Mus musculus: one gene and its partners. The protein of the gene in region 1 purifies or fractionates together with the protein of each later gene. This does not show direct contact. Links are inferred from orthologs where the notes say so. Each region holds a gene or a part of one and is shown on either strand. Other genes may lie near its edges. The genes, in order: Nup153, Nup133 and Tnpo1.

Region 1 (3,653 bases):
TACAGACCCAATTTTGAGAAATGCAGCTGTAACAGAAAGTACACAATGGGGCATATTATATATGTCTTTCTGTCCTTTGGACATTTTATAATTAGAATTGATGCATACTGTCAGGGAAAATAAGTTTTAGGTAAATTTTTATTTACAAATTATGGATAATGAGTCATCAAACATGTAAGGAACATTGGCAGTGAATATAATTCAATTCTAAGAAAACAGGATCATTTGAAAACTAAAATAGAGGTGGGGAACAACCTCATTAAAAAGAAGTTGGTTGACATAAAGCTGTTTGGTTGATGGAGTGGTGGGATGAGCATTGTCTGGTCTGATTATTGTAATGAGGTTTCCCAGAGCAGTGTCACCTGAAAAGTGCTTTTGAAATTGAATTCACTTAGATAATGAGAGTGGTATAGGGAAACATTAGAAAATTTAGAGGAAGATTTTCTGCATATAAAATAAGACACTGAGGCTGGAGAGATGGGCCCAGCAGTTATGCATACTGCTCTTTGAAGAGGACACAGGTTTTGAGTCCCAACACCTATTTTAGGTGGTTCACAACTGCCTATAATTCCAGCTCCAGGGGTATTTGATTCCTACACACATTCAGGTAAAAATTAAATTTAAAAAGACACTGGTTTCAAAATAAAAACGACTGAGCTGGGCATTAGTCCAGTGATAGAGAAAACATTCTGCAAGGCTTGTGCAAAGCCCTGGATTTGATCCTCAGTACCAAACAGTGCCCCATAAAATGAAATCATCTTGAACCATTTTGTAGCTAGAAAATTTTGATCAGACATAAAAGCAAATGTAGCTATTTTCAGACATGCAAAGTTTGTAACTTTGACACTTTTTTATTAAACACCTTTGAAGCACTCAGGGAACCCCCACATGGGAAATTCACATAACCATGAGTAGTTTTTTCATATTCGATGTTTACGTGTAAATTTGAAAACAACCTACAAAAAAAAAAAGAATTAAAACTGCCTATTATTTGAAATGGGGAGAAATGAAATATTGTAACCAGCTTTGATCATGAAATCTTATCACCTGTAGAAAGCAGTCGCCCATCCTGTCTAGTGTGTAGCTTCAGAGCTGAAATACTGAGAAAGTAGAAGTTTGATTCAGGTGGTATAAGAAATCAGAAGCTTTTCTTCAAGTCACCAATCAGTAGTTATACAGCATAAACAAGTCCTGTGTTTTCTAAGCTTTCTAATTATTTATCTAATTTTAAGACTTATTTATTTTATGTATGAGTACACTGAAGCTGTACAGATGGTTGTGGTTGCTGGGAATTGAATTCAGGACCTCTGCTTGCACTGGTCAGCTCCGCTTGCTCTGGCCCAAAGATTCATTCTATCTAAATACACTGTAGCTGTCTTTAGACATATCAGAATAGGGTGCCAGATCTCATTACTAATGGTTGTGAACCACCATGTGGTTGCTGGGATTTGAACTCAGGACCATTGGAAGAGCATTCATTGTGCTTAACCGCTGAGCCATCTCACTAGCCCAGCTTTCTAATTTATAATGGCTGCAGTGATAAGTGTAAGAGCATAGAAAAACCTCATTCCTGGGGGAAAACATTTCTTTTGTTCCTTTCATTTCAGTTATTAGTTTTTGTGGAGTTTGTCAAGCTCTAAGCTGCCTATGAAATTTGTAGGGGAAAGTAAACGCACAAGGAATGTGAGAAGAAAGGCAGGCACTAATCAATAACAGTCTAATAATAATGACAGTGACCACGAAGGGAAATACGTATAGATTAGGAGATTTAGGGTGCCACCAAGGTGACATTGTGTATTAATTATTAGCAGGAGTTAGCAAATACTCAAGTGCAGTCAGTATGATGAGATTTTGTTGATTTGTTCATGTGGATAAATGGAAGTCAGGGTGCTGCTATTGTAATATGACATAAACCACAGCACAGACAGACACGTACAAATGTACCCAGCTTCTACTATCTGATTTGGTTTCTGAATATAATACCAAGTTAGATTTGGATGTGAGACAGTGTATTTTACATTAAATTTATGCACATAGTAGCAGGACTTTTTATTTGAATGCTAAGGGTCTTTGAGTAAAGAGAAAATCTGTAGACCATAAAAGATAAGTACTTTTGACATTTCAAAGAATTGATGTTTACTTGATGAGACTATATTAGGTGATTTGTTCCTCCTTAAGGATTTATGTTTGTTTCTCAATCATTGTTTTGCAGATCAAGGTGCAGCAAAGCCAGTTTTTAGCTTCTTGAACAGCAGTTCCTCTAGTTCAAGTGCACCAGCCACTTCATCTAGTGGTGGCATATTTGGTAGTTCCACCTCTTCCTCCAACCCACCTGTGGCAGCCTTTGTGTTTGGACAGGCCAGCAATCCTGTCAGCAGCTCTGCCTTCGGTAACGCTGCTGAATCCAGTACATCTCAGTCTTTGCTATTTCCTCAAGAGAGCGAGCCAGCCACCACGTCCAGCACTGCCCCAGCTGCCTCTCCCTTTGTATTTGGGACAGGAGCCAGCAGTAATAGTGTGTCTTCTGGGTTCACTTTTGGGGCTACAACCACGTCAAGCTCTTCAGGTACTTCTGTGCTAGGAGAGAAAAATGGGGTTTGTAGTTGGATTGGTTCTGCTGAATTGCCAGCTGCAGTGTGCCTCCAATTCATGTAAGGTCTAAGGTCTCACCTGTGGAAAAATGGGCACTTCAGGTGGAATAGATCTAATTCTTAAGAACAGTATTTTCTAATTTTAGGAAGAATATATAACATTTCCAAGTTGCCTTTTTGAAATGTCAGATTTATAAGCGACCAGATAGTAATAGTGGTTGTATGGGATGTGTGTTTATACAGTGACTCAGAGCAAGTCTTTGAGATAAACCATTATAGAAAAAATTGTTGAGCCTAAGCTACTCAGTTCCAGGCCAGCCCCAGGAATACTATAAGACCTTGTCTGACAGGCACACCCCTCTTACTAGTAAATGATTGTTGGTTGCAAAGGGGGAAGGTTGTGTTAATTGAAGCTTTTGTTAAACCAGTGTATGTTTAGTAAACAGTGTCATTCATTGTTCTAATCTAATTGTAATCAAGGTAAGAGTGTGAAAGTAGCTTGAAATTTGTGGATTTACAAATGTTTCTCAAGGGTTATCTTATTATATATAAACCTTGATGTTGATTTAACTATTTCTTGGCCTCCAGGATCCTCCTTTGTATTTGGCACTGGACATTCAGCACCATCTGCCAGTCCAGCATTTGGTGCTAACCAGACTCCAACATTTGGACAAAGTCAAGGTGCCAGCCAGCCTAACCCGCCAAGCTTTGGCTCTATCTCGTCTTCAACAGCATTATTTTCTGCTGGTTCTCAGCCTGTACCACCACCTATATTTGGGACAGTGTCAAGCAGCAGCCAACCTCCTGTGTTTGGACAGCAGCCTAGTCAGTCTGCATTTGGCTCTGGGACAGCTAATGCCAGTAAGTTTGTATGATAGTTGACATCTATACTTACAGTCTGGTGTTTTAAAATAGTGTTTTTTCTTTGTACTTTGAAACTATGTGTGTGTTTTAATTTTTAATGTTTTATACTTAACAATGAATTGTGTTTCACATTTACGTATAAACATTACAGAGTTTTAGTCAACTTTATTTGATGGCTTTAAACTGTATTTAAAATGT
Region 2 (3,653 bases), on another chromosome or scaffold:
GTGTGCGCCTGGTGGATATGCGCACACACAGATGCAGGTACCTACAGGGGCTTAGACACTTTGGATCCCCCTGGGCTGGAGAACAGGTGTCTGTAAGACACCTAACATGGGTGCTGGAAACCAAACTTGGGTCCTCTGCCAGAGCAGCAAATGCTCTTCCTCACTAAGCCATCTCTCGTCCCCAAAATAACATTAAAGTGAGACTGTAGGGCAGATTTATTCACAAATTGTTTTCTTTATATTCCTCGGCACTTTGTGAAAAATTAAAATGACACTGAGCTATGATTTCCAGTTATACTGAACTGAAACACATGGTAAGATTTATCCCTGTTACAAATCAAAGAACAACAGATTTTCTTATGGGATTTAGATAAGCAAGTATATTAAGAATAAAGATTTAGTAGCTGGAGAAAGGGCTCTGTGAGAGGATCGCTATGGGGTGGCTCACAGTCACCTGTGCCCAGCTCCAGAGGCACATACAACGCCCCGCCCCCGCCAGCACTGCACTCAATGTAGATCCCCAAACAAACAAGCCAGGGCCAGGCACGGTCACACACCTTTAACACCTGCACATGGGGGCAGAGGCAGGCAGCACTCTGAACTCCAGGATGAGCCAGAGCTACACAGTGAGACTCCGTCTCAAGTAAGTAAAGACTTAATAGACTTAGATGCTACATGAGGTTAAAGGACATGGCTTCCCTGGCAAATGCCAGTTACTAGAGAACGTGTTTAATTTCTGTTTATACTCAACATCACTGATGCTGTCTCCTGGTGGTTTATTTTGTGAGTACATAAATCACAGTCTCCCCTAGGCACATGGAATTTGTTTATAATATAAAGGTCTCAAAACTGAATCCCAGGAAGACACGATAGCACATACCTATAATAACAACTTGGGAGACAAGAGACAAGACTGCATCTTGAATATGTAGTCAGACTAGACTACACAGTCATCCGATCTCAACTACAAACCAACGCACACCCCCCAAAATTTGAATCCAAGTATTTCACCATGCAGCTTGTCATCCAACTTCCTTTCCACTCAATACCGAGCTACAGCGAAATCGTCCAAGGACTGGCTGCGGGCTACCTTCAGTATCATCTTTCTTTACTTCACACTGGGCCAGAGAGGGAGATGGAAAAACAAAACGCACTAATATCTACAACTATTTCCAAATCTTGCCAGTGAGCCTTAAAGCCACCAGTGGCTATGCAGGACTCTGGTGAGCTGTGGCCTCCCTGTGACGAACTTACCTGGAAAGGGGGGTTATACTGAGTCACTTCTACGGTGACTGCATCTGACATCTGGTTACCATTGTCTTCCACCGTGATCACAGAGTAATAGACAAGACAGGGGCTGTCTCCCAGGTGCCACGCTGCTGCCAAAATCAGGAGCCCATCGCTAGAAAAGGGGTGGGAAGAGAAAGGAGGCCTCTGTGTCTGCTGCTGTTGTTGGAGACAGGGTTTCACTATACACAGCCCTGGCTGTCCTGAGATTCAGAGGTCCAAAGGCAGATGCCATTACACCCTGCAGGATTCTTTGTAAAGTCAGATTCTTACAAAATTATACACACCATATAAACTAGAACCCTGAACCTAGATATTTGAATACTTAAGGGAAGAAAAAAAAAACATTCTCACAATTGCCTTAATGCAAATGTTTACAGTGGCTTTATTACAGTAGCCAACCTGAAAACAACTGAATGCCTTCAACTGCTGAGCAGATAAATCCTGATATATCTACACATATTTTCTCTTGAATGCTATCTAGCAAAGGAAATGGAGACATTTCTGAATTGATTTTAAATCAACCATGTCAAGCTGTATTACATAGCATTTATACAGCATTCTGAAAAAGACAGAACTTTGAAGGACGGATCAGTAACTGTCAGGGGCACAAAGGGAGGAAAGTGATCTCTTCTCCCCACTGCCACCTATGTGAGGTTTAAACTCTGCCGAGTGTATGCAGACGTTGCTCTAGCGCTGAGCACCAATCAATCCTGTTCTGTATCAGGACTGTGGTTAAGATGACTATTCTATATGCACCTGGCTTATTCAATCAGCCTGGCTTAGTCTGGGAATTAGCACAGTCCATTACTAAGGTCAAGGTGACCTAAGGCCATGAGCAGCACCTATGCTTGTTCACCCAGCGCTACTGAGGCAGTACCTTGTTACTCATCTAACAGGGTCCTTAAGAGGTGGTCCTATAGGGCTAGGATTCCCTGATTTTACCTATGATCCTAATTGGAAAAACAAAACAAAACAACCCATAGTGCTAGAGAGACTGCTCAACTGCTAAGAGCATTTGTTACTCTTCAGAGGCCTGTTCCCAGCACCCACATCAGGAGGCTCACAAGCATGAAACGCCAGCTCCAAGGAATGTGATGTTTTCTGCGCTCTGCAGGTATACGTATGTGTGTGTATGTGCATAGACATACACACACAGAGTGGGAGAAAGAGACAGAGAGGCTATAAATCTTAACAAAACAAAACAAAACAAAACAAAAACCTCTACAAAAACCCCACGTGGGAAGTAAAGACAGGCAGATTTCTGTGAGTTCCAGGCCAGTTATACAGTGAGCCCATGTCTCAAAACAAAATAATCTCCCACAAACCAAATCCCCCAAAATCCATAAAGTTATTTTAAGCAGTGAAAACAGTAGGTAGTCAATCGAAATTCTGCAGATCAGTAAAACATTGATAAACAGGTTATATAAAAATCTACACGCTGGGGCTGGAGAGATGGTTTAGCAGCTGAGATCACTGGCTTTGCTTCCAGAGGACCTGGGTTCAATTCCTAGTACCTACATGGCAGCTGAGGGCTGTTTGTGGCTCTGGTTCCAGAAAATATGATACCCTCACATAGACATACATGCAGGCAAAACAGCAATGCATAGGAAAAAAAATTTTTTTAATCAATTAAAAAAAGAACCTGTACATTAATAAACTTAAGATGGGGAAATCCCAGCCAGGAATGAGAACATGCCTGGTGCTCCAGTGCTCTAGGGACCGAGTCAGGAGAACCCCAAGGCCAAGGCTAACTTGTGCTACAAAGCTGCCACAAAACAAAGCTAACCTCGTTACATCTAAAATGAGGAAAGCACAACGTTGTCAATAATAACTCAGTAAAGACTCCTAAGTCTTTACAGGGTTTTCAGGTCCTGCTGAGAAACAAGCTAACAGACTCAATGGTACTGGAGATAACCACCCCTCATGACCAGAGGCAGCCGCAACACCTTCCGAGAAGCAAGGACACCGGCTGTGCCACACCAAAACCAGAACATACGGGACACAGGAAACGTCTCCAATTGTCCAGGTAAGGTGGTGTCACGCGCCTTTAGTTCCAACACTGGAGGCAGAGGCAGGTGGATTTCTGAGTTCTAGGCCAGCCTGGTCTACAGAGTGAGCTCCAGGACAGCCAGGGCTATACAGAGAAACCCTGTCTCAAACAAGAACAAAAAAGTCTTCAACTTGGTCTGTTTTCGACAGAGTCTTGTGCATGGCTCACGCTGGCCAGGAACCCCAATCCTCTTGCCTCAGGATGCCTGAGTGATCTGCCAAGCCCTTCCTAAGACCAAGCATAACCATGCTGAGTCTAGCTCGCAATGGAGGACACAGCCTCATTACATCAGCTTAGTCACTGACTGTGGGAC
Region 3 (3,653 bases), about 52 Mb from region 1:
CCTGGCTCTGCTTGCAGTGCCAGATGTGGTACACAGATCACACAGTTGAAAGAGGTGACTGACTCAGAAGCCACCTTAAGGTCAGCTTCTCCTGGGTATAAGTCACAGGCCTCTTCTGGTCCCAGCCAGCGGGTTCAACCATATTTTCTGTGGGTGCTTTTGTTATAGTAAATGAAACTAAAAGAAATCGAATGTTTGAAAGCTATTTCTCTTAAATCACTTTATTCCTCAGGTAAATCTAGAGACTTGATAACACGAGAATGTCATCATCATTTTGATGTCCTGTCTTCACTATAAACATTGTCTCAAAATATTTATAGGTGCTTTGAAAACCAGAAATATCATGGAAAAAAATGGAATGAAATCTTAACCTCCTTTAAGACACCTAGGAACAATTAACTCTGATTTGTTGTTTTTTAATAGCTTGGTATCAACTTTTCTATTTGTAGCCCTGGAAATATACTAAATGTTTCTTAGTGGATGCTGTGTCCTTTCTATATACAGTTGAGTATAGCACGTTTTGAAAGATTGCTGTTCTTTCCTAGGTTGTATGCAAGGCATGATTCCGTACCTGCCCGAGCTCATTCCTCACCTTATTCAGTGCCTTTCTGATAAAAAGGCTCTTGTGCGTTCCATCACCTGCTGGACTCTTAGCCGCTATGCACACTGGGTAGTCAGCCAGCCACCAGATACGTACCTGAAGCCATTAATGACAGAACTGCTGAAGCGTATCCTCGATAGCAACAAGAGAGTACAGGAAGCAGCTTGCAGGTAGGACAGAGCCATAGCACTGTTTGTTATGAACATGAGAGCCTGGTTTCAAACCAGCAGACTTTTATACCACAAACTGCTGCAGTTATGATGAGAAATTGTTTTACTAACGGTTTTACTAAACAAAATGTGTCGTAATCCTTTGCTTTCTTGGTGGATTTTCAAACGAATAACAACATTTTAGATACTTATCCACTACCTTAACTTTGAGATTGAATGGCCTGCAGACTTTTGACACGTCCTCAATGGTGCTGTGCACAATCTTTCAAAACGTGCCAGTACCAGTGGTTGGGCTCTGCTCACATCAGAATTGCTTGTTTTCATTCCTACTGGTTTCTGTTTCTGGGAGCAGGGGAAGAAGATGGGAACTGCAATTAAATTCCTAATTCTTTGAACTGCTTTTACCATTGACCTTTTGTCCATCTAGGGATCAGACCCAATACTTACACATGCTAGGCAAGTGCTTGGCCATTTAGTGCCATCCTAGCTCACCATTGACTAAGTACTCCTGTGTGTGTGTGTGTGTGTGTGTGTGTGTAAATGAAGGGAGGCAAACTGAGGCTAGCATGTGGCTCCATTTGTAGAGTGACTGCATAAAGTCCTGGGCTTTGTCCTCAGAGCCATGTGATTGGACATGGTGATGCATGCCTGTCATGTCAAGACTGAAGGTGAGGATCAGCCTGGGTCATTCTGGGCTACATAGCAAATTTGAGGCTAGTCTAGACTACCAGCTGTAATGGTGCCAGCTTTAGTCTCAAACTTAGGTACAGAGGCAGGTGTCATTCTGTGCTCAAAGCCACAAGGGCTACAAAGTGGTTCAAGGCCAGCCAGAACTACATAATGAGACCCTGTCTTTAAAATTTTAAAAAGGGAGAGGGCAAGCTGGGGAGATGGCTTACAGACACTTACCTGCTCTTGCAGAGGGCCTGGGTTTAGTTCCCAGCAGTACATGTCAGCCTACCCTCTAATTCCATTTCAGGGATTTAGATGCTATGGTTGTCAAGAGCTCCTGTATGCACTCGGTGCCACATAACACAGCCTCAGGCATCTACACATAAAGCAAATAATTTTCAATGAAAAAAAAAATTTTAAACCAAAGTAAGCATGCAGAGTGAGGCAGCAAGGTGCTCATGATGTGACGTGAAAGCATCTGCGAACTGGAGACCATTTATTGTTTTTCCTTTTGTTTGTTTTTCTCATCCTAGTGCCTTCGCTACATTAGAAGAGGAGGCTTGTACAGAGCTCGTCCCTTACCTTGCTTATATACTCGATACCCTCGTCTTCGCCTTCAGTAAATACCAGCATAAGAACCTGCTCATTCTGTACGACGCCATAGGGACACTGGCAGATTCAGTGGGACATCATTTAAACAAGCCAGTAAGGACCTGAGGGTGACTGCTATGGGGACATTACAATAATAAACTGCAATAAATACATAGTGTATATTACAAAGTGAAGTATGAACCGTTAGCGTTTCCACCTTTGAAAATCACTTACGGTTAGTACAGAAATTCAAGTGTCTGGAGGAAAGAGGGTAAAGAAGATGTTATAGTCTGGCTTTGCTCCTTTACTTAGTTCCATGTAAGCACCATTTCATTAACACTGGCATCAAAGCTGCTGCATCTACACACTCTACTTCCTGTTCAGAGTGTACCAGGCAGTAGGAGTCGCCTATATAAAGTGAGAATGGGAATGAGAGATTGAAAATGCTGAATAGCAGTACTGAAGTGTCTTGCTTCTAGTTGTGTAAAACATGAGTGAGGATTTGAAGTCTTAAGAACAAGAGTCAGCTGTCTCTGCTGAATATGAATAATATCTGATAAGACATGTGGTCACTGTAGGAAATGTGTTATCAGTAAGTGTAACTCACTCTTGTTTTAAATTATGCTCAAGATATTGGCTGGTTTGGTTCGTTGAGGAATAGGTCATGTTTTAAAGCCTGTGCCTTTTGTTTAATTAATGTGATGGTATTATAAAGCCACTGCCCGCTCTTCCCACCCCAAAACTGTTTATCGCTTGAAAATAAAACTTGTGATTTGGGCTGGAGAGATGTCTCTGGTTAAGAGCAATGGTTGCTCTTCTAGAGATTCTGAGTTCAATTCCCAGCAACCACATGGTAGCTCACAACTGTCTATAATGTGATCTGATGCCCTCTTCTGGCATGCAGGTATAAACGCAAATAGAGCACTCATATATATTAAATGCATAAATAAATCTTTTTTTTAAAAAGCTTGTGATTGCTGGACAGTGATGGCCGCACGCCTTTAATCCCAGCTCTTGGGAGGCAGAGGTAGGTGGATTTCTGAGTTCAAGGCCAGCCTGATCTACAGGGTGAGTTCCAGGACAGCCAGGGCTGTACAGAGAAATCCTGCCTCAAAAAAACAAAACAAACAAAAAAAAAGCTTGTGATCTAACAAGGTATGGATTATGCTGGGTTTGATGACACACCTAGTATCAGCACTTGAGAGGCAGAAGCAGAGGCAAATGGCTTTGGGGCCAGCTCTGACTACATAGTGAATACCAGGCTAGCCAGGGCTGCATCATAAGACTGTTTGAAAAAGGAAAAGAACAAGTAGTAGATCTTGATGGTCTAAGGTACTTACTGATAACACATTTTCTTTTAAAAAAAATATAGATTACTTTAAATCAGGATCATATGAATTAAAGAGTAAGTCTTAAAATGTAAAAATTTAACACAATTGCTCCAGATGGGTTTTAGTTTTATAGACTCAATGAACATGTTTGCAGATGATAGTGAAGCTTTTTGTTTTTCATTACGGTAAACAGGAATATATTCAGATGCTAATGCCTCCTTTGATCCAGAAATGGAACATGCTGAAGGATGAAGACAAGGATCTTTTCCCTTTGCTTGAGGTACGCTG

The links.
Region 2: the proteins of Nup153 (region 1) and Nup133 purify together in Homo sapiens (co-immunoprecipitation; 3 studies listed by BioGRID and IntAct, with this or other methods). This does not show direct contact. The link is inferred for Mus musculus from reciprocal best matches to the Homo sapiens genes NUP153 and NUP133.
Region 3: the proteins of Nup153 (region 1) and Tnpo1 purify together in Homo sapiens (co-immunoprecipitation; 3 studies listed by BioGRID and IntAct, with this or other methods). This does not show direct contact. The link is inferred for Mus musculus from reciprocal best matches to the Homo sapiens genes NUP153 and TNPO1.

Annotation. Positions count from the first base shown.
Region 1 is NC_000079.6:46,682,796-46,686,448, reverse strand, and holds part of Nup153 (nuclear pore complex protein Nup153), read left to right. Parts: intron 1-2,212; coding exon 2,213-2,566; intron 2,567-3,179; coding exon 3,180-3,452; intron 3,453-3,653. UniProt on the Homo sapiens protein: Component of the nuclear pore complex (NPC), a complex required for the trafficking across the nuclear envelope. Functions as a scaffolding element in the nuclear phase of the NPC essential for normal nucleocytoplasmic transport of proteins and mRNAs.
Region 2 is NC_000074.6:123,932,113-123,935,765, forward strand, and holds part of Nup133 (nuclear pore complex protein Nup133), read right to left. Parts: intron 1,403-3,653; coding exon 1,255-1,402; intron 1-1,254. UniProt on the Homo sapiens protein: Involved in poly(A)+ RNA transport. Involved in nephrogenesis.
Region 3 is NC_000079.6:98,856,881-98,860,533, reverse strand, and holds part of Tnpo1 (transportin-1), read left to right. Parts: intron 1-545; coding exon 546-771; intron 772-1,976; coding exon 1,977-2,148; intron 2,149-3,558; coding exon 3,559-3,645; intron 3,646-3,653. UniProt on the Homo sapiens protein: Functions in nuclear protein import as nuclear transport receptor. Serves as receptor for nuclear localization signals (NLS) in cargo substrates.